Linked DNA regions of Coturnix japonica. The protein of the gene in region 7 purifies or fractionates together with the protein of the main gene of each other region. This does not show direct contact. Links are inferred from orthologs where the notes say so. Each region holds a gene or a part of one and is shown on either strand. Other genes may lie near its edges. The genes, in order: MED26, POLR1E, MED19, POLR3E, POLR3H, RPAP2 and POLR2H.

Region 1 (4,235 bases), on a different chromosome or scaffold from region 7:
CCAGAAAACAGCTGTGGAAACATCACTAACCATGAGACTGGAAGATCACCCAACACTAGGTAACATAGCACAGCACATAGACGGATTCATCATTAATGTTCTGGCCTGCAGACATCTCCCAGAGGCCGAGCAGCAAAGCCATGGAGCTCAGTGTGCACGGCAGCCTGGACTGCAGGCAGCCCAACCCATACAGTGAGCATCTGAGGGGTGGTGACCTCAAACCAGAGCTGGGCTCACACCTTCAAGTGCTATTAATGGTAAATAATTAAATTATTGTCTAATATTCAAAACACAAAGGCTGCTACATATTTGGGATGAGGACCCTGTGCAATTGTGAGAACAGTTCTAACAGTCTTTCCCACAGAGCAAAAGCGAACAGCTCACACCATTCCTGCCACCAGGCAATGAGACTCCTGATGCCCCATTGGAGCGCCTTCACCCAGCAGAGGGGTTCTGCTCAGCACAGTGAGCCCAAAGAGAAAAGTGCTGCTTCTACCAGAACCAGGGAGCCCTTTCCCCTAAAAGCCCGCTCCAAGAGCCCATCGGACGCTTCCCCAGCTGTGCTGTCCAAAAAGTCCTCCCAGGAGGAGGATTTCCCTGCAGGAACATCACACTGCCCTGCTGGGGGTACAACACCCAACTCCCTGCTCCAATACAGGACTGGGTCCATTCCCAATGACCCCATGCTGGTAAATGGGGTGTAAGTCATGGAGCAGAAGTAGTTTGTCCATATGTTTTTGCAAGGGGAAAAGGCTGAATAAATGGAGATGTAACAGCAGACATCCCGTGTGGCTTCCAATATGATGTAATTTTTTTTTTAAATAGCTTATTTCTTACAGGTCTCCTTTGAAACAGAGCTTTATCACATAAATAGTGATCCAAGTGTGTGAAAATAAGTTATCAAAACATTCTGCAGCAAATACTAGAAGAGGTCTCAAGTGCTAAATGTGTGTACAATATAAGCAGCGCTCCAAGTCAGCAGAGCTTCAAGCAGAGGTTAAAACAGATGATCAGAATAGTGAACAGCTTCTGAAAGCACATGGGTTCCAACAACCTGGGGAAGAGCCATCTTGTTTAACTCACCACAGGAAGGATCTTCTCTGAGAGGACCTCACACTTATCCAAGATTTGCTCATACCACAAAGACCTCCACAGTCCCACTGGATTGAATATCCACAAGGGGAAAGCGGGTTGTGTTGGGGAAGATATCAGCAAAGCTGAAGTTGACAGCACCCCACAGCAAAGCGTGATGAGAACCACCTCCCCTCCACAGCCCCACCAAACTGATCCTTGTGCCACATGCTGGGTAGATCTGGTGCAGTTTTCACCCTCCCTCCTCTCCAGGGACACACACGTACCCGCACCGACAATCACATCAAAAAGTCCAAAAGAAATCCAGGCCTCAAAGCTTTTTTCTTAGTAAACAAGGAAGTCAATCACAATAATGAATGCTTTAAGTTTGAATGCAACCACTTCTTTCAAGAAAAGTCTCCAGAAGCCAGAAGAAAAGAGCCACAACTCTCCCTGTGCACCAAGAAGTGCTGCAGCTCAGAGCTGCACAACTGCTTCCTGTGGGGAGACAACAGAGCAGCCTCTCTTGTACTTCAACATTGGAGATCAAGTCAGATTTAAGTCACAATCTGCTTTTAAGAACGTTCAAAACTCATATTTTTCTCCCTTTCACTAAAACAGCACAGCAGTTCTGCCTGTCCATCTATTGCTTACTATGTGCTGGGAAAAAAAAGTCCAAGTCTGTATGATGAACCTCAACTCCACCACTTCTGTTCTCATTCGAAGAAGAGGTTAAAATAGAAGACAGCCCCCTGCCTACAGGCATTTCTGAACAATGGGCTGATTTTTCCACCGCTAATTATTGCCCTGGATAAGTATCAAGTATGTAGAATTATAATTTAACATACATTGCTTCTAAGCTTATGGGGCTACTGACCTGCTGCAGGCCCACAGAGCGCTGCCTGATGCTCAGACCTGCCCAGCAGAGCTCCTGCTCCATACCACCACCACAGCACAACCTGACATCGCACATGGAAGAAGCACATTCATCACAAAACATAATTCTTAACTCTACACAGCTACAACGTTTTAGAAAGTAACCCCAGAAACAGAGCAACCAGCATCAGCAGGTCTGAAGTGACAAGAAACCACTGCTCCATTAGAACTGTATTTAACCAGCTTGATGCTGAGTGTAAGGTAAAACCAAAATCCCACAGCCACAAGTCCCAGAGCAAACAGAACTCAGGAAAGATTGTTTCCGTATCTACCAAGTTAAAGGACCACAGACTCCAACAACTGAGACTTGAAAGCCCACCATCACCCTTATCATTCATTACTGTTACTCAAGCTGGTAATACTGCAGCTCATGACAAATGCTTATCACAACAGGCTATTACAAAGTGGTTTATCTTTCAGTTTTCACATCACTTGCATGGCGCTACATGATGCTTCCAAACAGCAGTAAGTTCATCAGCCACTCGGAGAACACAACACCTGTCTGTTATGGGAGAGATTTGCTCAGAGAGAAGCAGGCACAGCTCCAATGAACCTCGGAGCCCATCTCGTGCACTCCTGGCACAGCACAGCACGCTGCAGCCTGACTCACCCTGACTGCCCTGCGACAGACAGCTGGGAGCAGCACAGCTCTGTGCACTGCCATGGCAAATGTGGATTTCAGATCGAATAAATCTGACAGACCGCAGACCCCACAGTCCTCTCACCGTAGTAAACGTGGATGTGAAGAGCTGCTTTACTATGCCAAAAAAAACCTTAAAAGGAGTAAATAACACTTTGGATTACCACGACTTACACATGAAGACCACTTACTGGTAAAATCTACGTCGACTCCCGTGCTTACTCTACATCCCAGAAGGAGCAGATAAGCTCATTAGCGCTCTGCAGGGAAGGATAAAAGCGAAGACCGAGGCTGCCCGCTGCCGGAGCCGCTCCAGTGCCCCGGATCCACCTTCGAAGCCCTCCGGGCGCCCCCAGAACGCGGGGACGGCCCCGGGCCCGGCGTCTGCGGCGGGAGGCGGCGGAGGGGCCGCGGAACAGGTGGGCGCCCTGCGAGAGTCCGCAGCCCGGCCCAGAGCCCCCTGCAGGCCGCACCCGAGCCGCGGCCTGGCGTGGGGAGGCCGCCGGGCCGCGCGCCGCATGGCCGGGCACAGCCGGACGGCGCCGGGAGTGACGGGAGACGGCGCGGGGCGGAGGGAGAGCGCGGCCGGAGGGGAAACGGGGAGAGACCCCCGAGCTCCACGGAGGGAGCGCGCGGAAAAGCGCCGCCGGGAACGGGACCGTGGGCGAGCACGGAGCCGGGAGCTGCCGCTACCGCCCGCAGCGGAGGCTTCCGGTGCCCGGGGAGGAGCGCGGCGCGCCGCGGTCCCGGCAGGAGGAGAAGCGGCGGCGGCGGCCGCGCGGCCCCACGGCGTTCGTTCGTTCCCACAGCGGGAGGCGGCGGCGGGGCCGGAGAGCGGCCGGAGCTCGGCGTCCCCGCGCCGCCGGTCGGGAGCCCCGGGCCCGGCGGGCCGTACTCACGTTGCTCTGCGGGTCGATGGCCTGCAGCAGCCGGTCCCTGATCTGCTGCGGGGAGGGGGCCGGAGCCGCTGTCATTGCCTGGGCGAAGCGGGGCGGCTGCGGCCGGGGCGGGCGGGCGGCGGGGCCGGGCCGGGCCGGGGCGGCGGCTCCTCACTCGCCGGCGGCGGCGGCGGCCTCCTCGGGGAGCCGGAGTCGCATGTTCGCTCCCCGCCGAGCGGGGGGCGGCGGCGCTCGGAGCGGGGCGCGGAAGAACCGCGACGGCGCGACCGGGCCGGGCCCGACTGCTCCGCTCGGGGCCGAACTCAACTGTGGGCAGGAGCCAGCCCCGCGCAGGGCACCATGGGACACGCCCGACGCCGTTACGCACGGCGCGCCCCTGACGTCCCTCCGCACGCACCGCCGGGCGCCCAGAGCGCGTGCGCGGCGGGCTCCGTGACGGGAGGGGGGGCGGCCGCGCGTGCGCAGTCGGCCTCACGGCGCGCGTGCGCCCGGCGGCGGGGTCACCCGCGGGGCTGGAGGAGCGCGGGCGGGGGAGGGGAGCGCGGCGCCGCGGCTCCGTGAGCCCGAAATGCCGCCATCCGCCGCCGGCTGCGGTTGAAGCGGCCCCGTCCCACTCCAGCCCCCACGTTGGCAGCGCGAGGCAGCTCCGAGGGTGAATGCGGCCTTATGGACGGAGCGCCCGACAGCCG
Region 2 (4,166 bases), on a different chromosome or scaffold from region 7:
TTGCCCCGGACCAACGTTAACAACGTGCTACGGGACGCTGCTGCATCCAGGAGGTGACTATTCCCCGCTTTAACGTAATTCTTGCTCTTTTCTACCTTTTTCTATCGCCTACTTTCCCTTCCCCATCACCCTAATTTTGGCATTCGTCACTCTCCCTTCCCCATCCCCTCAATTGTCTATTATTTCCAATAAACTGGTCGGATCAACATTTGAATGCTCTTCTTCTTAATCTCACGCCGGGCATAACATTATTAAAAGAACCTTTGCCTCACTCCTAAATTGGAGCGAGACAACAGTTAAGAAGGAATAATGCTGTTGTCCATAGGTTTCAGCTATGTGCAGACACCTTCTCACTTTTCTTCCCTCCAGCAGACCTAAACTCCACTTATGTGTAAGATCACAACATGCAAAATGGTGCAGCTGCCAGGAGATTATATCAACTGCCCCAATCCTCTCCATTCACACCATGGTCTCAATGAGAACTCATCAGTCCCCAATACAGAAGGCTACAGAAAATACTTTATTTGTGCAGTTCCTCTGCTTTCCCCTCCCTGTTTCTGCCACAGCGTTGCCAGCTACCCATACCTGCATAGGGAGTTGCTTTTCATAGATCCACTGCTGAAGTTATTCCCCACGTATGAAAGCCTTTCAGTTTCTGAAACCTGACAAACAAAGAAAAAAATTACTTGAAGAGTGCATTATTTGAAAGTGCATATTTTCCTGCATGTACTGTATCTCTAGTGACACAAAGCTCAAATTTGCCACGGTCACCATAGAATCACAGAATTATCAAGGTTGGAAAAGACCTACAAGATCATCTAGTCCAACCATTACCGATATTTCTCAGCTAAATCATATTCCTTTACTTTACTTTACATATTCCATTTACTTTATACTTTATAAAGTAAATAAATAAACCATCCTTTAAAGCAGTAGGAGCAGTCTGTGAAAGAGGCAGTGGAAAGGAGCATTCTGTACCAGTCACCTGCACATCCTACTCGCAGTGCTTAAGGTTGCTTGATGCAGTTACTCAAAGCCTTTCTCGGTTTACAGAACAAGTGTTAGATGTCAGAATGAGCCAAGTGGCACAGAGCTGTGGGAAGGCAACATTACAAACCAGAGGATCATCACCCCGGGGGTGCCCAAGGAACGACTGGATGTTGTGTTGAGGGACATGGTTTAGGGGGAGCTATTGGTAATAGGAGAACGGTTGGACTGGATGATCTTTAGGACTTTCACAGAATCACAGAATGACCCAGGTTGGAAGGGACCTCAAGCATCATGTAGTTCCAACCCCCCTGCCTAGCAGGGCCACCAAACATACACATTTACTAGATCAGGTTGCCCAGGAGACCCTATAGATCCCCATAGAGACCCCATAGAGACCCACAGATCCCCACAGAGACCCCACAGACCCCCATAGATCCCCACAGAGACCACATAGACCCCATACATCCCCATAGAGACCCCACAGACCCCGTACATCCCCATAGAGACCCCATAGACCCCGTACATCCCCATAGAGACCCCACAGACCCCATACATCCCCACAGAGACCCCATAGATCCCCACAGAGACTCCACAGATCCCCACAGAGACCCCATAGACCCCACAGAGACCTATAAAGACCCCATAGACCCCAAAGATCCCACATAGAGACCCCATAGATCCCCATAGAGACCCCAAAGACCCCCACAGATCCCCATAGAGACTCCACAGATCCCACAGATACCCATAAACCCCCATAGAGATCCCCATAGAGACCCCATAGACCCTCACAGATCCCCATAAAGACCCCATAGATCCCAATAGAGACCCATAGAGACCCCTTAGATCCCCATAGAGACCCCATAGACCCCCATAGAGACCCCAAAGAGACCCCATACACCCCAAAGAGACCCCATACACCCCAAAGAGACCCCCACAGAGACCCCATAGAGACCCATAGACCCCCATAGAGACCCCATACATCCAAATAGAGACCCCATAGACCCCATACATCCCCATAGAGACCCCATAGACCCCCATAGAGACGCCATAGACCCCACAGAGACCCATAGAGACCCCATAGACCCCACAGATCCCCACAGAGACCACATAGACACCATAGATCCCCATAGAGACCCCCATAGAGACCCAGAGACCCCATAGATCCCCATAGAGACCCCACAGATCCCCACAGAGACCCCATAGAGACCCCACAGATCCCCACAGAGACCCCATAGAGACCCCCATAGAGACCCCATAGAGACCCCAGAGATCCCCATAGACCCCCATAGACACCATAGATCCCCATAGAGACCCCCATAGAGACCCACAGAGACCCCACAGATCCCCATAGTGACCCCATAGAGACCCCACAGTCCCCATAGATCCCCATAGAGACCCCACAGACCCCACAGATTCCCCACAGAGACCCCACAGATTCTCCATAGAGACCCCATAGACCCCATAGATCCCACCCCCGGTGATGCCGGGCCTTACCAGGATCCTCCGCCTTCTCTTCCTGGGGTTGGACACCTCGCTGCTCCGGTACAGCGAGAACCGCACGGCGTCGGGTCGCTGCAGCTGCCCATTGGAGAACGTCACTACGGGCGATAAAACAGGCCGTGAGTCCCTCAGCACCTCACCGCACCGCACCGCCCATCCCGCATCTCTGCTCACCCAGCACTGCCGGCTGCTCCTGCTCGGGATCCCCGCGGTATCTCCACGTGGCGGTGGCCATACCCGGTACACACAGGAACAGGCCAGGCGCCACGCCGTAATGGCGGCACTTCCGGTGGGGGCGCTCCGAGATGACGTCACATCCTCTCGTCAATATGGCGTCATTTCCGGCCGACGCGGCGACAGGGTGGGAGCGGGGGTGGAGCGCGGGGCCGGAGCGTCGTAGCGCGGCGGGTTCGGTGCCGCTGGGCCCGGTGTGAGCGGGGAACAACAGGGGAACAGCACGGGAACAACAGGCGGTGTGCCGGCCCCGCTGCCCGCACTGCTTCACTGGTGCTGAAGGAGGAGCCTGGAGCGGGTCTGTAACGGCGGCGGTGCCCACTGCGGTCACTGGAGGGAGGGACAGAGCGATGGGATGCGTTACACGAGGGGTGGGGTGTGAGGGGGTCCTGGTGTGATGCTAGGAGGGTTATAGGGTTATAGGGTTATAGGGTTAGGGTTGGGGTTAGGGTTAGGGTTGGGGTTAGGCCCTCCTGTCTCACGTTCATGTCGTTGCTCATCATAGCCGTGATGTGGAGGACGGTACTTGGGTTGGGGAGGTGCTAACACGCTGCTAGCACCTTGTAGCCAATGGCATACTGGGGTGTATTAAAAAGAGTGTGTCCAGCAGGTTAAAGGAGGTGATCCTCCCACTCGACTCTGCCCTATTAAGGCCTCATCTGGAATATTGTATCCAGTTCTGGGCTCCCCAGTACAAAAAAGACAGGGATCTCTTGGAAAGACTCCAGTGGAGGGACACAAAGATGGTGAAGGGCCTGGAGCGTCTCCCCTATGAGGAGAGACTTAGGGAACTGGGTCTGTTGAGCCTTGAGAAAAGAAGGCTGAGAGGGGACTTGATCCAGGTTTATAAATACCTGAGGTGTGGGGGCCATAGTGGTGAGGCTGGTCTCTTTTCAGTAGTGTGTGGGGATAGGACTAGGGGTAATGGGATGAAAGTACAGCATAGGAAGTTCCTTAATAAGAACTTCTTTACAGTGAGGGTGACGGAGCACTGGAACAGGCTGCACAGGGAGGTGGTGGAGTCTCCTTCTCTGGAGATATTTAAGACCCGCCTGGACGCCGAGCTGTGTGACATGGTGTAGGGAGCCTGCTTTGGCAGGGGGGTTGGACTCAATGATCTCTAGAGGTCCCTTCCAACCCCTACAATTCTGTGATTCTGTGACAGCGCCTCTGTCCCTACCTGCTGTTTCTTGCTAACTTGGAACTTAGAACTAGAGGGAATGGTTTTAAGCTGCGTCAGGGGAGATTCAGGCTGGACATTTGGAAGTATTACTTTTCAGAAAGAGTATTCAGGCATTGGAATGCACTGCCCAGGGAGGTGGGGGAGTCACCGAGCATGGGAGTGTTCAAGAAATGTTTGGATGTGGTGCTGAGGAATATGATTTAGCCTGGAAGTATTGGGAATTGTTGGACTAGATGATCTTTTCCAACCTTGCTAATTC
Region 3 (3,319 bases), on a different chromosome or scaffold from region 7:
TTTTAAAAACGAGGAATAAAAGGATATTTAATGAGTCACCTCAGCGGGCATGCGTGTGCTTTGTGCGGTGTCCAGGGATGGAGGAGTCCGTGAAGGATCCTGTCCTTCACTTCTCAGCTTTCCCTCCCTCGTCTGGAGTGGAAAGGAAGGGGACAAGGAGAGCCGGGCCCAGCCTTACAGGGCTGCCAGTGCCTGCGCCCTCACAGCTGGGATGTGCTTCCTTAGGGCACTTTGGGGCACAGCGCTCTCAGTGCAGGTAAGTGGAGCTGTCAGGGTTGGAACATGTCCCAGGACTCAGTGAGGCTCTGGCTCTTCTGTAGGAGCCCCCACAGGGGCAGCCCTGGGGGACATGGTGCTGAACTGGGGTCACTTGTGTCCTCCTGAGCCTTCTCTCACAGCCCAGAGAGCTGCAAGGCCTGGAGTATGATGGGACAGGCACAAGGCCTCTGCTCCTTGCCCTGCCCCGCTGGCCAACAGTCAGAGCCGCCACTGGCACCAGCTCTTCCTCAGAGCAGACTTTAATTAAAAGGTGAATAAAAAAGTGAGATCCCAATGCACCACGTTGCTTAGGTGTGGTAGGAGCCCCCATTCCAGCAGCGTCCGCGTCACCAGGTCCCCATCAGCCACACAGTGCAAGCAGGGGGGTTGCAAGGCCACGTTCTCTGCAAGCGGGGACCATGAGTGCCCACACCTCCCCGCTGTGCTCTGTGATGGGACGAGTCCACAGCTGGGGCAGGGAGCTCCATAGAGCAGCACAGCGCAGCCTCACCGCAAGCTGCTGCTGCTGCTGGCCTGCGAGCTGCCCACCCCGGGGTGCTCGGGGCTGTGTCGGTTCTGCAGAAGAAGGACAGGCGTGAGGCCTTGTGAAACCCAGTGCCAAGCCCTGCTGGAGGCCTAACGTGTGGTGCTGCCGCGGCCTGGCACGGGGCTGGTGCAGGCAGAGCAGAGCAGCACGCTGCCTCCTAACCTACCTTCTTTTTCTTTTTCTCCTTCTTCTTCCTTTTGCGCTCCGGATCCTCCTCTTTCTTCTTCTTCTTTTTCTTGTGGTCTGAGTCCGAGGGGGTTTCTGCAGGAAGCAGAGGAGGGGTGAGCGGGGCACAGAGTTACCAGGACACATGGGGTGCAGAGTTAGCAGGGCACGGTCCTACCTGGGGGCACAGGGTCCTGCGTGCGGCTCTGCTTGTGCTTGTGCTTGTTCTTCTTCTTGGGCGGCTGGATGTGCATGAGGCGGCACTGCTCCGGCAGCTGCAGGGGCTCATGTCAGCGGACCCCCTCCTTACCCCCATCCCCCCTTCCTCCCCCGGGTGCTCACCGGGCCGGCGTGCAGTCGGAACCCGGTCAGCATGGTGCCGGTGAGCGGCGTGAAGGAGCTGCCGCAGATGGGCGGCTTCTCGATGAGGGAGCGCAGGCTGCTGTTGTCGTGTGAGCCGGGCAGGTCGATCATGCCGGGCAGGTCGGGCAGGAAGTTGCTGAGCTTCTCCTTCACCTTCTTGCCGCAGAACTTGTTGTACGCGTGCTCCAGGCTGTAGTGTGTGATCAGGTTGCTGCTGCCCGTCAGCTCCGTGCCGCCTGCGGACGGACCGGCACCCTCAGCGCCCCGCCCCTCGCCGGACCGCCCGCGCCCATTGGCCCGACGAGCCGTCACTCCGCGCGTCCCGCCCGCTCATTGGCCCCGCGCCCCCCCCCCCTCCCCCGCGGCCCGGCCCGCACCCGGCAGCTCCCGCAGCAGGTAGAAGGGGCCGGTGGCGGCCTTGCGCGCCGCGTCGTCTCCCGGCGGCGGCACGGCGGCTGCTGGAGGCGGAGCGGCCCCCGCTCCCGGCCCCTTGTTGGGCCCGAAGCCCAGCGCGGCGGCGGCGGCGGCGGGAGGCGGCTCGGCCCCGCCGAACAGCGCCGAGAAGTTCTCCATCTTCCCGCCCTGCCCCGCGCGGGGCCGCCCCGCCCCTCGCGGACGTACGTGCAGCTCCGGCCAATGGGAGCGCGGCGGGCGGCCGGAGGACAAGATGGCGGTGCTGGCCCCGCTGCTGGCGCTGCTGTACTCGGTGCCGGGGCTGTGCCGCTGGCTGGCCCGGCCCTACTACCCGCTGTCCGCGCTGCTCGCCACCGCATTCCTGCTCGTCCGCAAGGTCCCGCCGCTGTGCCGCGGGCTGCCCTCACAGCGGGAGGACGGCAACCCCTGCGACTTCGACTGGGTGAGCGGCAGCACCGGGCCGGCCTGTGCCGTGGCCTACTCGGGTATCACCGGCGCTGGGTGCAGCCGAGGCGGCCCCTCTGTGCGCAGCCCCGGCTCCTGATCGAGGGCAGGCGGAGGATGAAGGCTGGAGCGGCCTGGAATGGCTGCTTGGCCTTGTGGTTGTGCTGCAGGGCTGCTCGGTTGTGCCCGAGGTGCTGGCTGTGGCTGTGGCTGTGGCTGTGGCTGTGGCTGTCACGGTGCTCACTGCGTTTCTCTCCTGTGCAGCGGGAGGTGGAGATCCTCATGTTCCTCAGCGCCATCGTCATGATGAAGAACCGGCGCTCCAGTGAGTTGGGGCAGTGCTGGGTTGAGTATAAGCTGCTGATGGGGTGTCTCTGTACTGGAAACAGTTGAGGGATGAGAGTGAAAAGAGACGTGGCCCCATCTCTGATTTCTTCCCTCCTTCCCAGTCACTGTGGAGCAGCACATTGGGAACATCTTCATGTTCAGCAAAGTGGCCAACGCCATCCTCTTCTTCCGTCTTGACATCCGCATGGGCCTGCTCTACCTCACGCTCTGCATCGGTGAGACACGTGGGGAAGTGGGGGGGGATCCGTAATGCAGGGGCTGTAACAGTGCTCCTGTCAGGCCTTGTCTCTGCCCATCCTGTGCATTGCCTTCCTCAAATGGGGCTGGAGCCATCTTGCCTTGTGCTGCTGCTGTCTTTGTAGCCATACAGGCTGCTCTGGGGAAGGAGGAGCCTCCCTCAGACTAAGCCTGTGTCTCTTGGGCATTCCAGAAGTGGAAAAAAGGGGGCAGAGGCCTCGCTCCAGGTGGGCGCTGGGCTCAGGGATGCTGTTATTGCAGTGTTCCTGATGACCTGCAAGCCACCCCTTTACATGGGACCTGAGTATATCAAGTACTTCAACGATAAGACCATAGATGTGAGTATCTCCTACCCAGTGTGAGTTGGCGTGGGGTGCCGGGCTCCCTGCCTACCATCCCCTGTTGACTCGCGTGGCAGGAGGAGCTGGAACGAGACAAGCGGGTGACCTGGATCGTCGAGTTCTTCGCCAACTGGTCCAGTGAGTGCCAGTCCTTTGCCCCCATCTTCGCTGACCTCTCTCTCAAGTGAGTGCTGCCTGCTTT
Region 4 (3,500 bases), on a different chromosome or scaffold from region 7:
CTATATTAAACACCTTTGAATAAAATTATAGAGAGAATTTGCATCCTACCTCTCAAAAGGAAACACAACTCACGTAGCATTTACCTTCATTAGCAGCTTCTCTTTCGCGGTGTTTTGCATCAGCTTTATCCAAGTAGGTGAAACTTGGCCTCAGCTGAAGAATTCCATGCAGTGGAGTCAGATGAAGTTCACCTGAAAAAGAGAATGGATATTGGTTAAAGGTATTGTTTTCTAGTGCACAGAGACAGTACTTTCATCACTTTGCTACCTCTGCAACAGCACCGCTTGCAGAGAGCACAAATATTTAACACAGTAAAAAGGGATTAAGTGATTCATCCAGTTCACAGAATTTCAAAGGAGTATGAAAAAAAATCAAGACCTACTCCTGCTACCTTATTTTTTAATGTTGGAGCCAGATCTTACAGAGAGCCCCATTTTGGCTCAGATCTGATCTGTCAGGAGACTACTAGTGAAAGAGACATCACTGTAGGCAATCTACAATGATCCTCACATCAAAACTCTGCGGTGACAGTAGGAAACAAGAGAAGGGCAGGATGTGCTGAACAGGCAAATAAAACAGCCATGCCTAGATGGAGATAATAATACAATGTAAGTGAGATAAATAATTTTTTTTGCAAATGTATGTTTCAGGCCATCACGGACTACTAAGATCCTGGAGGCACCTACAGTGTCCTGCTATATTATTTAAAACTCTGCTGGAGCTCCTCAAGGACTCCAGGGATGCTCATAAGGAAAGCTTTCATTTTATTTAGAAAAGCATCAATTAAATATGAGCCTATGCTATTAAAAACACAGAACAAACAGCTCTTATTTAACCCAGAAATTCACATATTTCACTGATGTGAGGGGTAACAAAACAAAGTCACCTTTTCTATAAACAGCAGCTGCATAGCGGGAAACATTACTTGCAGCTTGCGAAGAGCAGAAAGTTTGTTTGTCCATCAGCTTCCTGCAAACAGATGAATGCTGTAAGATTATATGCTACAGGCAACGTGGCATACAGATGTTAAAAGGCCTGAAATCACAAAGTCTCAAAATGGTCCATCAGCAAATACTTTAAATACTGAGGCTAGTTTTGTGTAACGTTTTAATCAACAATCTGCATGAGGGCACTGAGTGCACTCTCACTAAGGCAAGACTGTTGATCTGCTTGAGGTCAGGAAGGCTCTGCAGAGGGACCTAGATAAGATTGATGGGCCAAGTTACATGACATGACATGAACTAAGGGTAAGTGCTGGGTCATTAATAACCCCATCCAGCAGTACAGCCTTGGGGCAGAGTGGCTGGAAAGGAGAAGGACCTGAGCATGCTGTGCTGGTCAGCAGCCAGCTAATGTGAGCCAGCAGTGTACCCATGTGGCCAAGAAGGCCAATGGCACCATAGTCTGCAACAGAAATACTGTGACCAGCAGGACTGGAAAGTGATTGATCCTTTGCATGCAGCGCTGGTAAGGCCACACCTTGAGCACTGCATTCAGTTTTGGGCCCCCATTACAGGAAGGATATTGACTTGACTGAGCATGTGCAGCAAAGAGCAATAAAGCTGGGGACTACAAAACAAGATTAGGAGGAATGACTGAGGGAACTGGAGTTGTTTAGTCTGGAGAAAGGAAGGCTCAGGAGAGACCTCAGTTCTCTATAACTGCCTGAAAGGAGGCTGCAGTGAGGAGGTGTTGGTCTCTTTTCTCAGGTGACAAGTGATAGGACACAAGGAAACAGCCTCAAGTTGTGCTGGGGAGGTTTAGATTGGATACTGGGAAGAACTTTTTCATAGAGAGGCACAAAGGTGGAGCCCTCACTCCTGGAGTTATTAAGAGATGTGTGGATGGACATGGGCCTAATGGACATACACATATCTGCACACCGCAGAAACAAAGGAAAGCAAACAGGACACCTACGAGGAATAGGTACTTGTTTCATCTGTACAAGTGCCATCTACATTGAGAGCAATCTGTTCTCCTTTGCTGCGACAGTAGTTTGGATTCAAAGTATCAATGGCCATTTCCAGTTCAACCTAAAAAATGTGAAAGAAAAGGCAAATTATTACGATGGCAGAACTCCAGATGTATAATCAATTAAACTTACAAATTACAGCCACCACCTCACTTTTATTCCCCTTCATGTTACTTGTAAACTGAAGTAGTGACCAGTCCCTGGTTATGATGGTAGATTTATACATCTGCTAATTCTAATTAGAAAAATCCTTAACACAGCATAGGCTGTGACTCCAAAATTCACATAAGCACTCTCCTCAACTATTTCCCAGAAAAGAATCCTGCTATCACACACCCGTGAGTGGTTTTTTTCATTTTTTTTTAACATGAGGCATTTTAAAATCACAGCTACAGGTTTGGAATTCTTCTGTAGTCAAGTGAAATCATTCTGGCTTTGGTTATACTTTCACCACCCCACTGATTCTCAAACGGGACAGCTGATGGTTCACAGCCAGGCAAAGGAAGAATCAAGACACACAATGACTCTAAAAGACAAAGCACGCCTTCAAACCTCAACAAAATTCTAAATATTGTGAAAGTCTTTAAAATCAATCTTGTACAGACTGAATAACAGTAGCCAGAGTTTCCTGAATGATTCTGTTTTTATATATTTTTTTCCATTGTGACATTCATTCCTCTCTTAATAAACCATTCTTCTTTTAAGCTCTCCTGCAGTCTTACAGTGACAGACTCCCTGTTCCCCAAGCACAGAGATCTGGTCCCACAAGCTGCACACTTAGAACAGCTTAGCAGCCCAGTGTAATGACCTGAAGCACATTCCAGACAGTGTAACACAACTTTCACAGACTGGACTCAAATGATGACCAACCTTTTGCTGCTTTGGCTTTATCTTCGCTGATAAATGTGTAACATCATCATATGTCATGGAAGCTGGACGAATTGGGTACTGCAAAACACATCAATTTCATAGAAATTCTTAATTTAAAAGCAAAAGAATTTCACAGAAATTTATTAAACCCTGCCTGACCCTTTACATGTAAAGGCACTTTCCCGATGGTTACAAGATCTCAATGAATGACTTTTGTAATCTTGTGAGTCATCAGATCTCCAAGTATGGTCTAGAAAGCTTTCCCCTCCAACCTCTGCTGCTGTCACTTCACCCTTTTCCATTTCCTGCCTCCAACACATCACTATGTGCTATAAGACAAGAAAATGGTACAACACATTAATCCAACAGCAAAAGGATGTAAAGCCATGAAAACCCGTTAACTCCATGACTAAATAAACTCCATCTCCTAAAATAATTCCCTCAGGGTTTATAGGCAATGATTTAATGTTAAGCCAATGCCATAAACAATCACTCTTCTCTTACAAACAATTTAATACTAAATGTTTCAACTGAGACCATACAGCTTTGCCTGTTCCCTGTAAGAGGTAAATAAAGCTATTGCTCTTTCCATTAATTTATTTTAAACAAATTTTCACTAAATAAAAGCTAACTGAAATACCTGAAACAGATACAACT
Region 5 (3,958 bases), on a different chromosome or scaffold from region 7:
GGGATGAAACCATAAAACAAGCAGGGCCTCTGATTCTGTTACAAAGCATCCTTGGACACCAAGAATGTCAGCTGAAATGTTGTTTTCCTGCCATACTTCTGCTCCTTTTATCTTTGATGGCAAAGATGTATTTTCTTCAAATGAAATTACATGGTAAACAATAGTATCAAAGTAAGATTCTCTGCCATAATCTTATTTAACCCAAATGAAAACTCTACTTACGTTGCTAACTAAGAATTTTGCATTCATAAGGAAGCCATACTAAGACAACCCCAGCAAAATAAGGTTTAAAAGCTGCTTAACATCATTTTAACTGTACATACCCAGTGCTGTTCTTCTATATAAAACCAAGCACTAGATTGGAGGAGGAGCAATAAATCCTGCTGCCTGGGAGCAAGCGCTATCCCAGCTTCTGAAAACAGGAGGTTTCTCTGCAAACTCAGGGAATATATGAACTTGTTTCAGTTCAAGGAGGTTCGAAGTTAAGGAAGCAAATGGAGACTAAAAGGAGCAGGAAAGCCTGCCATCCTCTTCAGTATTAAAGAAGCTTTTATTTGTAGGGAATTAGCGCTATTGACATTAAAAATGATGTCTGGGGTGCCACGTGCAGTCAGTCCAGTCTCCTTCTAACAGGGTTACTTCCTTTGCTCGAGTGTTTCTGCATTTATTTACAGCTTTTGTTCAGATCTGCCAAAGCTCAAAAGTAATGAATCATTTCTTATTCCCTCCCCCATAAAAGACATCTAAATCCCAACAATATATGCTGAACCAGATCTGTCTGAGTCTCAAAGACAGATGCCGCAAAGCTTCCAGCTAAGAAAACAGCATCAACTGTTGTGTGAATGTTATATTTAGAAATGTTTCAACATTCCAGGCAGGCAAAATAAGCTTCAAAAAGAAAATAACAATGATGATAATGGACAAACACAGAACCATTAGTATAAATTACTTTCTATTTAGAGATTTCTGAGCTTTCTAAGTTAAATTAACCCCTTCTTTACCCAAGATCTATGGCTATAACTATAGGGCAGAGATAAACTGCTAGAGAAGGAAGATAGGACCACATACTTAAATATGTATTTCTAACCACAGCAGTGCAATGGAAAGAGACTTCCGCCACGATCCTCTCTCTCTCCTGAAGAGAACAGTGAAGGCTGATAACTTCAGCAAGTCCCTTTAAACTTAATTTACCTAACCATGGGATCTCAGTCAACACTTGCAGACCTCTAACCTGCAACAGCCATAGCTCTGAACATACCTTTGGTATGTGATGCACCATCCCCAGGGAATATGTATGAATCTTCCAGTTTGGTAATATCATACAGGCAGATGCAGAGACCAACGTTGTATACAACCTGTTCGAATGAAAAAGTAATAGAAAAGGCAGTAAATCAATTAGCAGGTTGACTCCCTTCAAGTTTATACAACATGCACAGCTTTTAGAAAGAAGGCAACAGAAGGTGGCAAGATGGGAGGGAGGTTGTTTATGTGCACTCCTCCAATGGCCCCAGCACTAAGCATGCTGCATTTCAGAGGTACCCCTAACCTCATAACTCAAGTGTTATGTGTGTGTTCTTACTGGGACTAGAAGGAGCACTGCTGTAAACAGAAATCCTGTCACAATAGTAAAGTTGTGAAAGAACACGTACCAATTCAGCAGACCCATATCTTGTCCAAAGGCCAAGATCTTGCCACCATCCTCACAAGTTTCTAAGCTTGTCTTTGTCTGAAACTCTAATAGCTGTGGGCAGAGATCAGAACTCCCAGTTTCTCTGCCACTTCACAGAATCTGTGGCACCTACCCATATAGTCAGTGGATAAGATTGTTGTGGGTTTTTTTCCTAAGCTGCCCGTATATTCTGCTTCCTCAGTCACTTCAGGCTGCTCTCCAGAGCCCCCTTCACATTGCCAAGCTGCACTCTAAGTTCTGTATCCCCTGAAAGTTGTGTGCCCATCAGCCTCATGGGCTGCACAGGGACGCTGTGACACAACTCTTTCATATGCCCCACACTAAAGGGGAAGACTATGCCAGCATACTGTACTCAGCACAAAGCAGGTCAGATAGCACCACTTCCATTTCTCTTTCAGTATTTTTGTTGTATTTACACTGACCTGGTTTGCATGTGCTTTCTTCATACAGCACTTTGCACTGCTGCCCTACACATAAGGTGGCAGCAACTCTCTTTTTCCATGCCCCTCAGCACATTCCCTACTGCACGAAGAATAGAAGACCCCTATGGGATGGTACACAGCTCTCTCTTTTTTTTCCATTTTGTTTGGAGTCAGCCTTCATATCTAAGCTGTTCTGATGTATGTGTCATTAGGCACAAACACAGAAACACTCCACTATATGGTGATGCTACAACACTTACGCCACCCTATACATTACCTTATTGGCCAATTTCTTGTTTAGCTCCTCTGCAATGGACTCATTCAGTTTCCTCTCAAACTGCCAGGGAGGAATCCTCACCGTGTCAGTCATCTCCACCAGGACAAACATGGCGGCCTCTGGGGAGACAGAGAGAGAGCAGAACCGTACAGGGGCCGCCTCAGTAACGAGCATTCAGCCCAGGCCTTGCCGGGGGCGCGGCGGGGCAGCACTCTGCGTCCTCTGGGGACTGTGAGGAGCAAGGGGAACGAGTGGGGTTAGAGACCAGCTGTGCAGCGCTCGGCCTCCCCACGAGCCCACAGTGAGACCAGAGCGGGTTCGTGACCGGGTGAGCCCGGAGCTCAAGGCACCAGGAGCGAAGAGGCAGCACCGACCCCCGGGAGCCTCAAACCCACCTGACACACACCGCCCCGCGCTGCACGTCCTCACGGCGACTTCCGGTGTCGGAGCCAATCGCCTTCGGGGGGCGGGGAGATGGATTCTGATTGACGTGTAGCCGGACCTACCGCACGGTATGTGCCGTGCGGAGGCCCCGCCCCTAGCGCCGGCGCCAGGCCCGCCTCACGCGGGGGCGGCCATTTTGTCTTCCTGTGAGATAGGTGGCGGCTGTCACTGAGGTGCTCCTTTCAGGGCCTACTTTCGTTAAGTAAAACGTAAATCCGCGCACAGTTCTCCGCAGCTGCTCTCCTCGTTATAGGAATTATGGAAAACAAGTGGCTGTTCCGTGCCTGAGACGTTCCCCGAGATATGGAAGAGCTGCCTGCAGTGTGCTGAAAAAAAGACTGAGGAAAACCAACGTGTCTGCGGCTGACAGGCAAAACTGTGCTGTCAGCACCGCGGCTTTGATGCCAGCACGACGGGTGTCACCCCCCGCACCCTGTGGCAGTGTGTAGCGGGCGGTAATGAGTGCTTGGGATAAGAAATCATTAGATGTTGAGCTGTCTTGGAGCAGGAAGGGGAAAACAAGGCCACAGATACCGCACCTCGGCCTCATTAACCAGAGATCTGTCGTGGCTAAGGAGTTCCTGATCTGTTTGAAATTATTCCTGCTCCACCAGGGTGTTTTTGTGATTATTAAATGGCTGCTCAGCACATGTCTGGTGTGTTGGCATTAAGCAGGAGTTGGAGGATCCAGTTTTCCTTCCCAGGTCCCTCGGAAGAGTAGCATTAGTCTCAGTGATGAGCTCTGCACACACCACTGTTGGGACACCTCACCCCAAATCCACCCCAGCCTATTTCAGGAGCTGTACAAAGAACCTTTCCCTTCTCCGTGGTGGTGGCTGTGCTAATCTGAGTACAGCACAGTTCTGCTCGCTGCATCCCTTGCTGTTCTGTCCTGGCTCCATGCAGGTCAGACGATGCTGGGGCTGACCTTTAGCTGCAGGTTTTGCAGGTCGCTGTAGCTGCCTCAACTCTGCTGTAGTTAGCACCCAGCAGCACACTGTATTTCACACTGCAGCTCAAGCATTCTGATGCTGGAAACTGTGGGAACAACCCCATCTCACTGAGTGCTTTCCTTGTGCCCCTATGGTACTGACACATGACATAGCCACAAATTCACAGAGGCTA
Region 6 (4,073 bases), on a different chromosome or scaffold from region 7:
ATCTCCTTAGACATTAGAACTGCAATTTCTCATTATTCATTCACATCTTAGTAGGCAACTTCAGGTTTACAAGAAAGCCTCTGCTGGGAGTGAACCAATGGAGCTGTCACAGAAGAAACCCTGTTCATGTGTGACTCTGCCACTATTCAGACAAATCCAGAGGGGAGCTTACATCAAAGGTAATAGTTTCCAAGTTCTGTTGGGACATGTGAAATCCAAAACGGTACCTATTTTTCCTTTCATGATTTATTTTTCCCAGATAACTGGTTGTATCACACCTGGTATTATGGTTATGTAACTGAACTCATAGTTCCACTTAAGCTCTAATACGTTGTATTTAGGCATGACTGATTTTGACACAAGTAAGGTCTGTTTTTGGAGGGGATGTATTTGCAGTCACATAGTAATACCCATGTGTTTTACCTCTTTCATATCAGCCCTTCTTACAAAGGTACAGAAGGAACAGATTAAAATGTTTCTGCATGCACAAAGGATAGCTATGACACCACACCTTATTTATCTTTATTACTGTCCAAATAGATTGTAATTGATTCCCTTATACAGCAACAGTTGTCAATCAATCAGATTTAACTTTTAACTTCAGAAGCATTATACTGAAATGATACCTGACAGCATTTTAATCTATATTTTAACATTCTAAGTTTAAAATGAAAAAAATAAGCAAGAGAATAAAAAATGTGATTAGGTTCTTATGATAACATTACTCAAAAACAAACAAAAAAAGCAACTTACATTTTCCAGTTTATTTTGACATACGGGGTAACCACATAGTTTGATGATAGACCGTTCATCAACAACGTCCTTATAGTGAGATGGAGTAATACATTTTCCCTGCAATTACAAGAAAATAGTTCAAGAATACTGGAAGATCTGTTACTTTTCACACTCAGATGTAAATAAGCAAATACATACTTTCCATTTTATAACTGTAAGTTTAATATACAGCACTTGAACTGTGGGGTAAAGAGCACCATTGGCTAAACTCACAGAGGGCATGATATGGACTTAACTTTTTGTGCTTCCCAGAGGCATAAAGTATGCTAATAGAGAGAGATTCACAATTATATCTCATCCTACAAAACTGGAGCATATTTTCACTGGAGAACCCTTGAAAGTAAGGCAGCCATCAACAGAGCTGACAAGAGAGGATGAACTTGTCTGCTCTGAACTGCAGCAAATTGTTCTAAGGACTTTTAAAAAACAGCTGGACACTAAGATACAAAATAACACAAAAACTTGTGACACGTACAGAATTCAGAAGGAACTCTTCAGTAATGTCCTCTTCCAGGAGCTGCTCAACAATACGCAGTGCCTTTCTCTCAAGTTCAATCTTTTTTCTAGTAGAAGCCTCCAGGGCTGCTTTCCTGTAACGTAAGAGATGTTGAATGAAACAGAAAGCAGCTCCCATAAGCAATTCCCCACCTGGATATCTTCTTTTCTGAAACACAGTAGTTTATATTTTCTGCATCTCATCAAGTTGGCCAAACAAAGCAATAAGTGGGCTATAAATTTTGTAATAACCACTAAAGACAAACAAAAAGATTCTTTGCTTTATTTTCTCCCCAGTCAGGAAAAGTATTGACTTTTATTGTCAAACCACAACAGAATTATTCCAGTATATGCACCCATTGGTATTTTCCTGTACCTTCCATGTATCTGCAGTGAGGCATATTTTGATATATTCTCTCTCTATATGTAGATTGTAGCCTTTGCTGAACTTTATTCTCACTCTGTCAGACAGGCCAATTGAACTGTGCATCAGCCAGGTGATGGAACAGAGATACCTCCTGTAGCTCCACCTCCCCCTGGAAAGTTGTTCTCCTGCCATCTGTGTCACCACTGCAAATCTGGATTCCTCTGGGCATCTCTCCCTGATGGGCGGCTGTCTGACACGTGGGAGCAGCTGGCAGAGGCACCTGTACTGTGTTGTTCTATGCTGCTTAAAGGGGATGCAGCTTTCAGCCCTGTTCAGATGTAATGTGCAGCTCTATCCAAACAGGATGGCTATGCCTATTCTAAGCAATGCTAAGTTGATGTTTGTTTAAAAGACCCACGGCATCACACCAAAAACCTGCTGGAGGTGGATGCTGGTGTCTCTGGAGGTCAGTCATCTCTGGCAAAGCCAAAAACACAGGAGGAAAAGAGCACAGTTCCAGAGTGAAGCAAAGCAAAGTGATCGCAGTGTGTTGTTTGCTAGAAATGATACCTCTGATCAGCATCTTCATTTTTAGGGGCAGCCGACCGTTTATGTCCTAGAAATCGAAAACATGGAAGCATATAAGTGTCTGTTCTTCCTTTAGCAATGAAAACATTGGAACTTTTAAAAAACACGAAGACTTCTGCAAGCACATTGGAATGCACATTGGAATGCACAGAGCCTCGCTGTTGTTGGCTATGCCTTCAGCAAGGCAATAACCGCTGGGCAGTGTCAGGTACGGTTTTGTACCGCTGCGGGGTGAGCACGGCCTGCCCTCATCCGACCTCCTGCGGGGAGCCCTGCCCCGTGCAGCCGCTGTGTTGCCGCAGCCGCCCCGAACTCGCGGTACCCTCGTGCCCCGCCAGCCCAGGCCGTGCTGCCGTGCTGCTGTGCTGCCGTGCTACCGCCCGGCACGGCCAGGAGTTGCATTAACTCACTGTACCGGCCTGCGGAGCGGGCGGAGCGCGGCGCGGAACTCACCTGCCCGCCGCCGGCCGGGCCTCCCCTTCGCACTGCACGGCGTCTTCCCATCCGCCATCATGGCGCTGCCGCCTCCCTCCCTCTGACCTCTCACCGGAGGCGGAGCCGTGTCGGCCGGGCCCGGGCCGGGAGCGAGGAGCGGCGGCAGCGCGGTGTGAGCGGTTACGGTGGGTGCTGTGAGCGGGGAGCGCTTCTTGCGGGTTTTGTTTGTAATTCAGCCCTGGGTTAAAGGCTGACCTTAGCAGCCCCTCGTGCTGGCGTGTATGTGGCACCCCACGTGGGAAAGCTACTTTAATAGAGGAGGGAGGGCTCTGAGTATAAGCAGCAGTAAGTTTGTGCTTATTTGGGTGCTGTACGTTTGCCGCTGGAACCGCTGGAAAGATGTAATTAGAAAGTGGGTTAAGTCGTAAGGCCTGACAGCGTGGGGAGCTGAGCAGCGCCGTGTGTGCCGTCACGTGTCCGAGGGCTGGGGGGGAAAACAGCAGAGCTGACAGCGTATGGAAATTGGTGGTGGGTTAGGGACAGTGGCTGTATAACGAGCCTTAGGCAGAAGAAAGTACTCAAAGCTGTTAAACAAACAGGAATCCCCAAACCTGAAGTTTTTAATTGTTGCACCTGAAGAAAATGGAATGCTTGATCGGCCAGCACTGCAAGGAAGTGAATAATGTTGCATATGTAGTCTTGACTGGTCTAAACCACTGTTGGTACAAGGCAGCAGGCACCTGAAGGCACATATGAAGGCACATACAGCTCCCACTGTATGTGGCCATGCAGTAGCTAAAAGACTGTTCTCATTTCTCTATTTGGTGTCTTAATAACATGATTTTTTTTAATTTATTTTTAAATTTCTGCATTTACTTAATGTGTTTTAATACTGTACCTTTTAATTCCTAATAGTTTTCAATGCCTGAAGAGCAAACTCAAGCAATAATGGCAGTTGATGAACTTCAAGCCATAATACAAAGATGCGTAAGTACTTCTCATAAAAGTCATAAGTGCAATTAAAGGTTCACTCTATGGCTTCAGAACACAAGATACTTGTTAGAAGATCTCCTTGCTGCTATCTGGGCTTAGTCTCCATGTTTCATTCACTTCTCCCTGACTGTTTTCCCAAGTTTTCCCTCTTGGAGAAAGAAGTGTTCTTGTTTCTCTCAGCAGAACATGTCAAAGTGAACATATCACAGAATCACAGAACTGTAGGGGTGGGAAGGGACCTCCAGAGGTCATCAAGTCCAGCCCCCTTGCAAAGCAGGCCCCCTACAGCAGGCTGCACAGGTAGGTGTCCAGGAGTAGTCTTGAATATCTCCAGAGAAGGAGACTCCACAACCTCCCTGGGCAGCCTGTTCCAGTGCTCCGTCACCCTTACCATGAAGAC
Region 7 (3,339 bases):
AGGTCAAAAGCAGCCATACCTGTGCAGCACGAGGCACATGCCCTGCTCCTATCAGACTGTGAATGCTTTACAATTAAAGACCTATTTTTCTAAAGGATTGTTTGTGTCTTCCTGTTCCCCCTGCTGTAGCACTGGCCTAAGGAGCATACACCAGTCTCTGGGGGAGGCAATAGCTGGGGAACAAACGCTCCTGATTTTCCCAGTGTCCAGCTCCCTCCTGTGGTGGCTGCCATCTCTGCAGGGCAGGTGGGCTCAGCTGGGGATGTGAGATAATAATGCCCCTTGCCTTCCAGTATCCACCTGCCAATTTCACTGTGCTGAGCTCTGGGGTCACACAGCATCACTCAGACTAGGCCAAGCCCCTCCAGGAGCTGCAGCTTGAAAGCCAGTGCCCCTGATGTGGTACCTTTGCTGTCTGCTACCACAACATCCTCCATGAGCATCCCATCTTCATCTACCAACCGGCATTCTGGGAAGCCAACCTTGCCACAACAACCACATCTAGAAAACACATAGCAGTTTAATTAAGAAGCCACATCTGTCTCAGAACAGCTCCTTAGAAAATGATGCCCAGCCCTAGCACAGACAGGTGAGTGCCCCAGTCCAGCGGCCCCTGGTTAGAGCTGGGGCTAAGCCTGCTTTTGAAGTGCAGGAAGGTGAGATCAGCAGGCAGGGCCACAGAGCACCCACGGTCTCCACTGAGAATGAGGCATCAGCCCCTGCACAGAAGGGAAACAGTCAGAAAAGACTGGGATGACAAAGGGGGAAAGTCCCCTCCTCCACCACCACTGGAGGGACTGGGCAGCAAAGGTGCTGGGGCAGGATTTGGGGTGATGGTGTCCTTTCTGCTCTCCAACAGAATGTCTCTGGGGGCAGGCAGCCCTCTGAGGTGCATCATCTCCTAGAAGGCCAACTTCTTCATCAGCAGGTAAACTCTGGAGTCCACTTCAAACCCATGCAGATTGTTTGCGTCTCCCTGAAGGCGCATGAGCAGCCCCCCATAGGACACATAAGCAGAGCTGGGGCAGGAGGAGAGGAGCAGTGAGAGCAGGGAAACCCATAGGAGACCCAGTCAAGATAACGCTGCCTCCCCACCACCCTCAGGCAACGCGTCCCCTTCTCAACAGCCACTCACAGGCGTGTGGCTGCCTCTGTGGACGTCTCATCCCCCTCAATCCTGTACACCTTGCCATACATCACGTACTCAAACTGGTCCGCCCTGCAATGACATGAGGGGAGCTGAGAGAAGCGTCAGACCATCCTTCCCACATCCCCTAACAGAGCATCCTCTGCGAGGAGGCCCCTTGTAGGAGGGGTCTCTCCCACCACTGCGAGCCACGTTACCTGGAGGGCCGGTCATCAGTGGGGTTGTACTCCCCATCATCCAACGTCCCATCCTCATACAGGGTGCTGGCAATGACCAGACGGAACTTGTCCCCTGGGAGGCGATAACAAAGCAGCGCTCAGAGCGCACAGCCGGAGCTGCCCCCCCCCCCCTCCCCGCCCGTCCCGTACCGAGATCCACGGGGTAGATCTGGATGTTGACGTCCAGGATCAGATCCATCTTGAACGACTCGCTCTCGCAGTGCAGCCGGGACACTGAGCGGGCCGGGACGGGGCGTCAACGGGAAGGGCCCGCCGCACCCGGCCCGGCCCTCGGAGCCCCGGGTGGGAGGAAGGGGCGGGGAGCGGGGGGGTCGTATCTCACCACGGTCGAACTTCTTCCCCTCGGGGTCGATGTCCTTCACATCGAAGATGTCCTCGAACAGAATGCCGGCCATGGCGGCGCCCCTTCGCTCCCGCGCCGGCTCCCGCTGCGGCGCACGGTGATGACGTGTTTCCACATCCGGAAACCTCATTCGTGGTGGGCGGGCAGAGGTGCCCGCGCGGTCCTAGCGCCGCCGGCAGCGCCCCCTGCAGGCTGGGGGGGCGCACTGCAGCGCAGGGGGCGGTAGGGGGCGCTGCGCGGCCGCGGATCGAACCGCGTGGGTCGGGGCAGATCCACGGCGGGACGGAGCTCGGAGCTGGGCGGGGGGCAGCAGCGTCACCCCACAGCCCACCCGTGTCACACCCCACAGCGTCACCTTCCCTCCGTGTCACATCCCCGGTGACACCCAGCTCCTACCGCCAGCCCCCTCCCCAAAGGGCTCAATGCGGCCGGGCTGTGTGAGCGGAGGGATGCGCTGGTACAGAGGGACACGGAGGGACACGGAGGGACACGGAGGGACCCGGGTTGGCGGCCCCGCACCTCCGGGGTCGAGGAGCCGAGGTTGGGGTGGGCAGCCCCCACACTATAGCACCTGCCCGGTGCCGCCGTCTCCTCCTTATCTGGAGCCAAACAAGCCCATCCGGCACCTGGTGCCGCTCAGAGCACACAGCACCAGCCCTCAGCCCGCCCCCAACCTGCACGGATCCCACAGACCGTCCCCAGGTGCTCTGCAGCCCCCGGTGCGCCGGGATATATGAAGGGATTTTGGGGGGGGGGGGGGCACAGCTCTGCCTTGGTGCACCCCAAAGCATCCCAGCATACAGTAGGACACACCGGGGGTCCCTCCATGTGGGCTCTCCCCAGGCTGGGAGTCCCATTGCTCACAGTGCCGGGCTGTGTGTGGGTGGGGAGGTTTAGCCGTGGGGCTGTTATCTTTCACTGATAAATTATACAACATGAGCACGGCTTTGAACGGCGGCCAGGCCTCCATCCGGTGGGGCAGCATTGGGGGGCCAACACAGCCTCCAGTGCTCTCTGATGGGGGGGATGGTGATGGAGATGGGGCCGTGGCTTTGGAGTGAAGGGCTGATGGGGATGGGGTCTGCACACAGAGGCAGAGCAGGTGGCAGAGCCACGGCGGCACCTGGGTGGTTGGGCAGCCCCAAATCCTGCACCCTAAATCCCTGCCCTCTCCCCAAAGCCTGCCCGGCTCGGGGGTGGGAGCGGTGCTTCAGAGGCGGCCGCGGCCCCTCTTATCTGCGGGCACAAAGGAGCCGCGGCACCGCCGTTATGGAGCAAACAGACCTGGGGAGAAGCTGGCTGGCATCGGGCAATGGGGTGGCACCATCCCCATGTTGCGGTGCTATGGGGTGGCACCATCCCCATGTTGCGGTGCTATGGGGTGCAGCGCTGACATCCCCCCACTGAGCGGCCCCCCTAAGGCTGGGGTTGGGCAGGAAGAGAGCGAGCCAAAATTAAGCTGTTAATGAGTCTGTCTGTCACCAGGCTGCCAATTACCCATGTGGGTAAGGAGGAGATGATGGAGGTGGCACGGAGCAACATCACAGCCCACCCGATCATCCCCTCATTAGCACCGCATCACCCTGAGTGAGGGACAAGGCCCTGGGCAG

What was found.
Region 1: the proteins of POLR2H (region 7) and MED26 purify together in Homo sapiens (affinity purification with mass spectrometry; 3 studies listed by BioGRID and IntAct, with this or other methods). This does not show direct contact. The link is inferred for Coturnix japonica from reciprocal best matches to the Homo sapiens genes POLR2H and MED26.
Region 2: the proteins of POLR2H (region 7) and POLR1E purify together in Homo sapiens (affinity purification with mass spectrometry; 3 studies listed by BioGRID and IntAct, with this or other methods). This does not show direct contact. The link is inferred for Coturnix japonica from reciprocal best matches to the Homo sapiens genes POLR2H and POLR1E.
Region 3: the proteins of POLR2H (region 7) and MED19 purify together in Homo sapiens (affinity purification with mass spectrometry; 3 studies listed by BioGRID and IntAct, with this or other methods). This does not show direct contact. The link is inferred for Coturnix japonica from reciprocal best matches to the Homo sapiens genes POLR2H and MED19.
Region 4: the proteins of POLR2H (region 7) and POLR3E purify together in Homo sapiens (affinity purification with mass spectrometry; 3 studies listed by BioGRID and IntAct, with this or other methods). This does not show direct contact. The link is inferred for Coturnix japonica from reciprocal best matches to the Homo sapiens genes POLR2H and POLR3E.
Region 5: the proteins of POLR2H (region 7) and POLR3H purify together in Homo sapiens (affinity purification with mass spectrometry; 5 studies listed by BioGRID and IntAct, with this or other methods). This does not show direct contact. The link is inferred for Coturnix japonica from reciprocal best matches to the Homo sapiens genes POLR2H and POLR3H.
Region 6: the proteins of POLR2H (region 7) and RPAP2 purify together in Homo sapiens (affinity purification with mass spectrometry; 3 studies listed by BioGRID and IntAct, with this or other methods). This does not show direct contact. The link is inferred for Coturnix japonica from reciprocal best matches to the Homo sapiens genes POLR2H and RPAP2.

The regions. Positions count from the first base shown.
Region 1 is NC_029543.1:3,344,973-3,349,207, reverse strand, and holds the start of MED26 (mediator of RNA polymerase II transcription subunit 26), read right to left. Parts: upstream 2,801-4,235; 5' UTR 2,072-2,800; coding exon 1,949-2,071; intron 1-1,948. UniProt on the Homo sapiens protein: Component of the Mediator complex, a coactivator involved in the regulated transcription of nearly all RNA polymerase II-dependent genes.
Region 2 is NC_029547.1:66,747,554-66,751,719, forward strand, and holds the start of POLR1E (DNA-directed RNA polymerase I subunit RPA49), read right to left. Parts: upstream 2,801-4,166; 5' UTR 2,726-2,800; coding exon 2,665-2,725; intron 2,589-2,664; coding exon 2,485-2,588; intron 663-2,484; coding exon 586-662; intron 1-585. UniProt on the Homo sapiens protein: Component of RNA polymerase I (Pol I), a DNA-dependent RNA polymerase which synthesizes ribosomal RNA precursors using the four ribonucleoside triphosphates as substrates.
Region 3 is NC_029520.1:7,805,569-7,808,887, forward strand, and holds MED19 (mediator of RNA polymerase II transcription subunit 19), read right to left. Parts: upstream 1,930-3,319; 5' UTR 1,907-1,929; coding exon 1,711-1,906; intron 1,570-1,710; coding exon 1,313-1,569; intron 1,246-1,312; coding exon 1,149-1,245; intron 1,067-1,148; coding exon 972-1,066; intron 835-971; coding exon 766-834; 3' UTR 501-765; downstream 1-500. Other genes in the region: TMX2 (thioredoxin-related transmembrane protein 2), read left to right, coding at 2,001-2,189, 2,456-2,516, 2,641-2,754, 3,038-3,114, 3,195-3,301. UniProt on the Homo sapiens protein: Component of the Mediator complex, a coactivator involved in the regulated transcription of nearly all RNA polymerase II-dependent genes.
Region 4 is NC_029529.1:8,331,699-8,335,198, reverse strand, and holds part of POLR3E (DNA-directed RNA polymerase III subunit RPC5), read right to left. Parts: coding exon 3,484-3,500; intron 2,922-3,483; coding exon 2,844-2,921; intron 2,035-2,843; coding exon 1,919-2,034; intron 971-1,918; coding exon 888-970; intron 193-887; coding exon 85-192; intron 1-84. UniProt on the Homo sapiens protein: DNA-dependent RNA polymerase catalyzes the transcription of DNA into RNA using the four ribonucleoside triphosphates as substrates.
Region 5 is NC_029516.1:45,236,925-45,240,882, reverse strand, and holds the start of POLR3H (DNA-directed RNA polymerase III subunit RPC8), read right to left. Parts: upstream 2,801-3,958; 5' UTR 2,785-2,800; intron 2,779-2,784; exon of another isoform or gene 2,619-2,778; 5' UTR 2,564-2,618; coding exon 2,390-2,563; intron 1,356-2,389; coding exon 1,259-1,355; intron 1-1,258.
Region 6 is NC_029523.1:12,310,623-12,314,695, forward strand, and holds the start of RPAP2 (putative RNA polymerase II subunit B1 CTD phosphatase RPAP2), read right to left. Parts: upstream 2,801-4,073; 5' UTR 2,760-2,800; coding exon 2,699-2,759; intron 2,274-2,698; coding exon 2,228-2,273; intron 1,386-2,227; coding exon 1,271-1,385; intron 853-1,270; coding exon 754-852; intron 1-753. Other genes in the region: GLMN (glomulin), read left to right, coding at 3,602-3,667.
Region 7 is NC_029524.1:13,963,259-13,966,597, forward strand, and holds POLR2H (DNA-directed RNA polymerases I, II, and III subunit RPABC3), read right to left. Parts: upstream 1,846-3,339; 5' UTR 1,782-1,845; coding exon 1,709-1,781; intron 1,600-1,708; coding exon 1,516-1,599; intron 1,439-1,515; coding exon 1,345-1,438; intron 1,220-1,344; coding exon 1,136-1,219; intron 1,020-1,135; coding exon 902-1,019; 3' UTR 501-901; downstream 1-500. UniProt on the Homo sapiens protein: DNA-dependent RNA polymerase catalyzes the transcription of DNA into RNA using the four ribonucleoside triphosphates as substrates.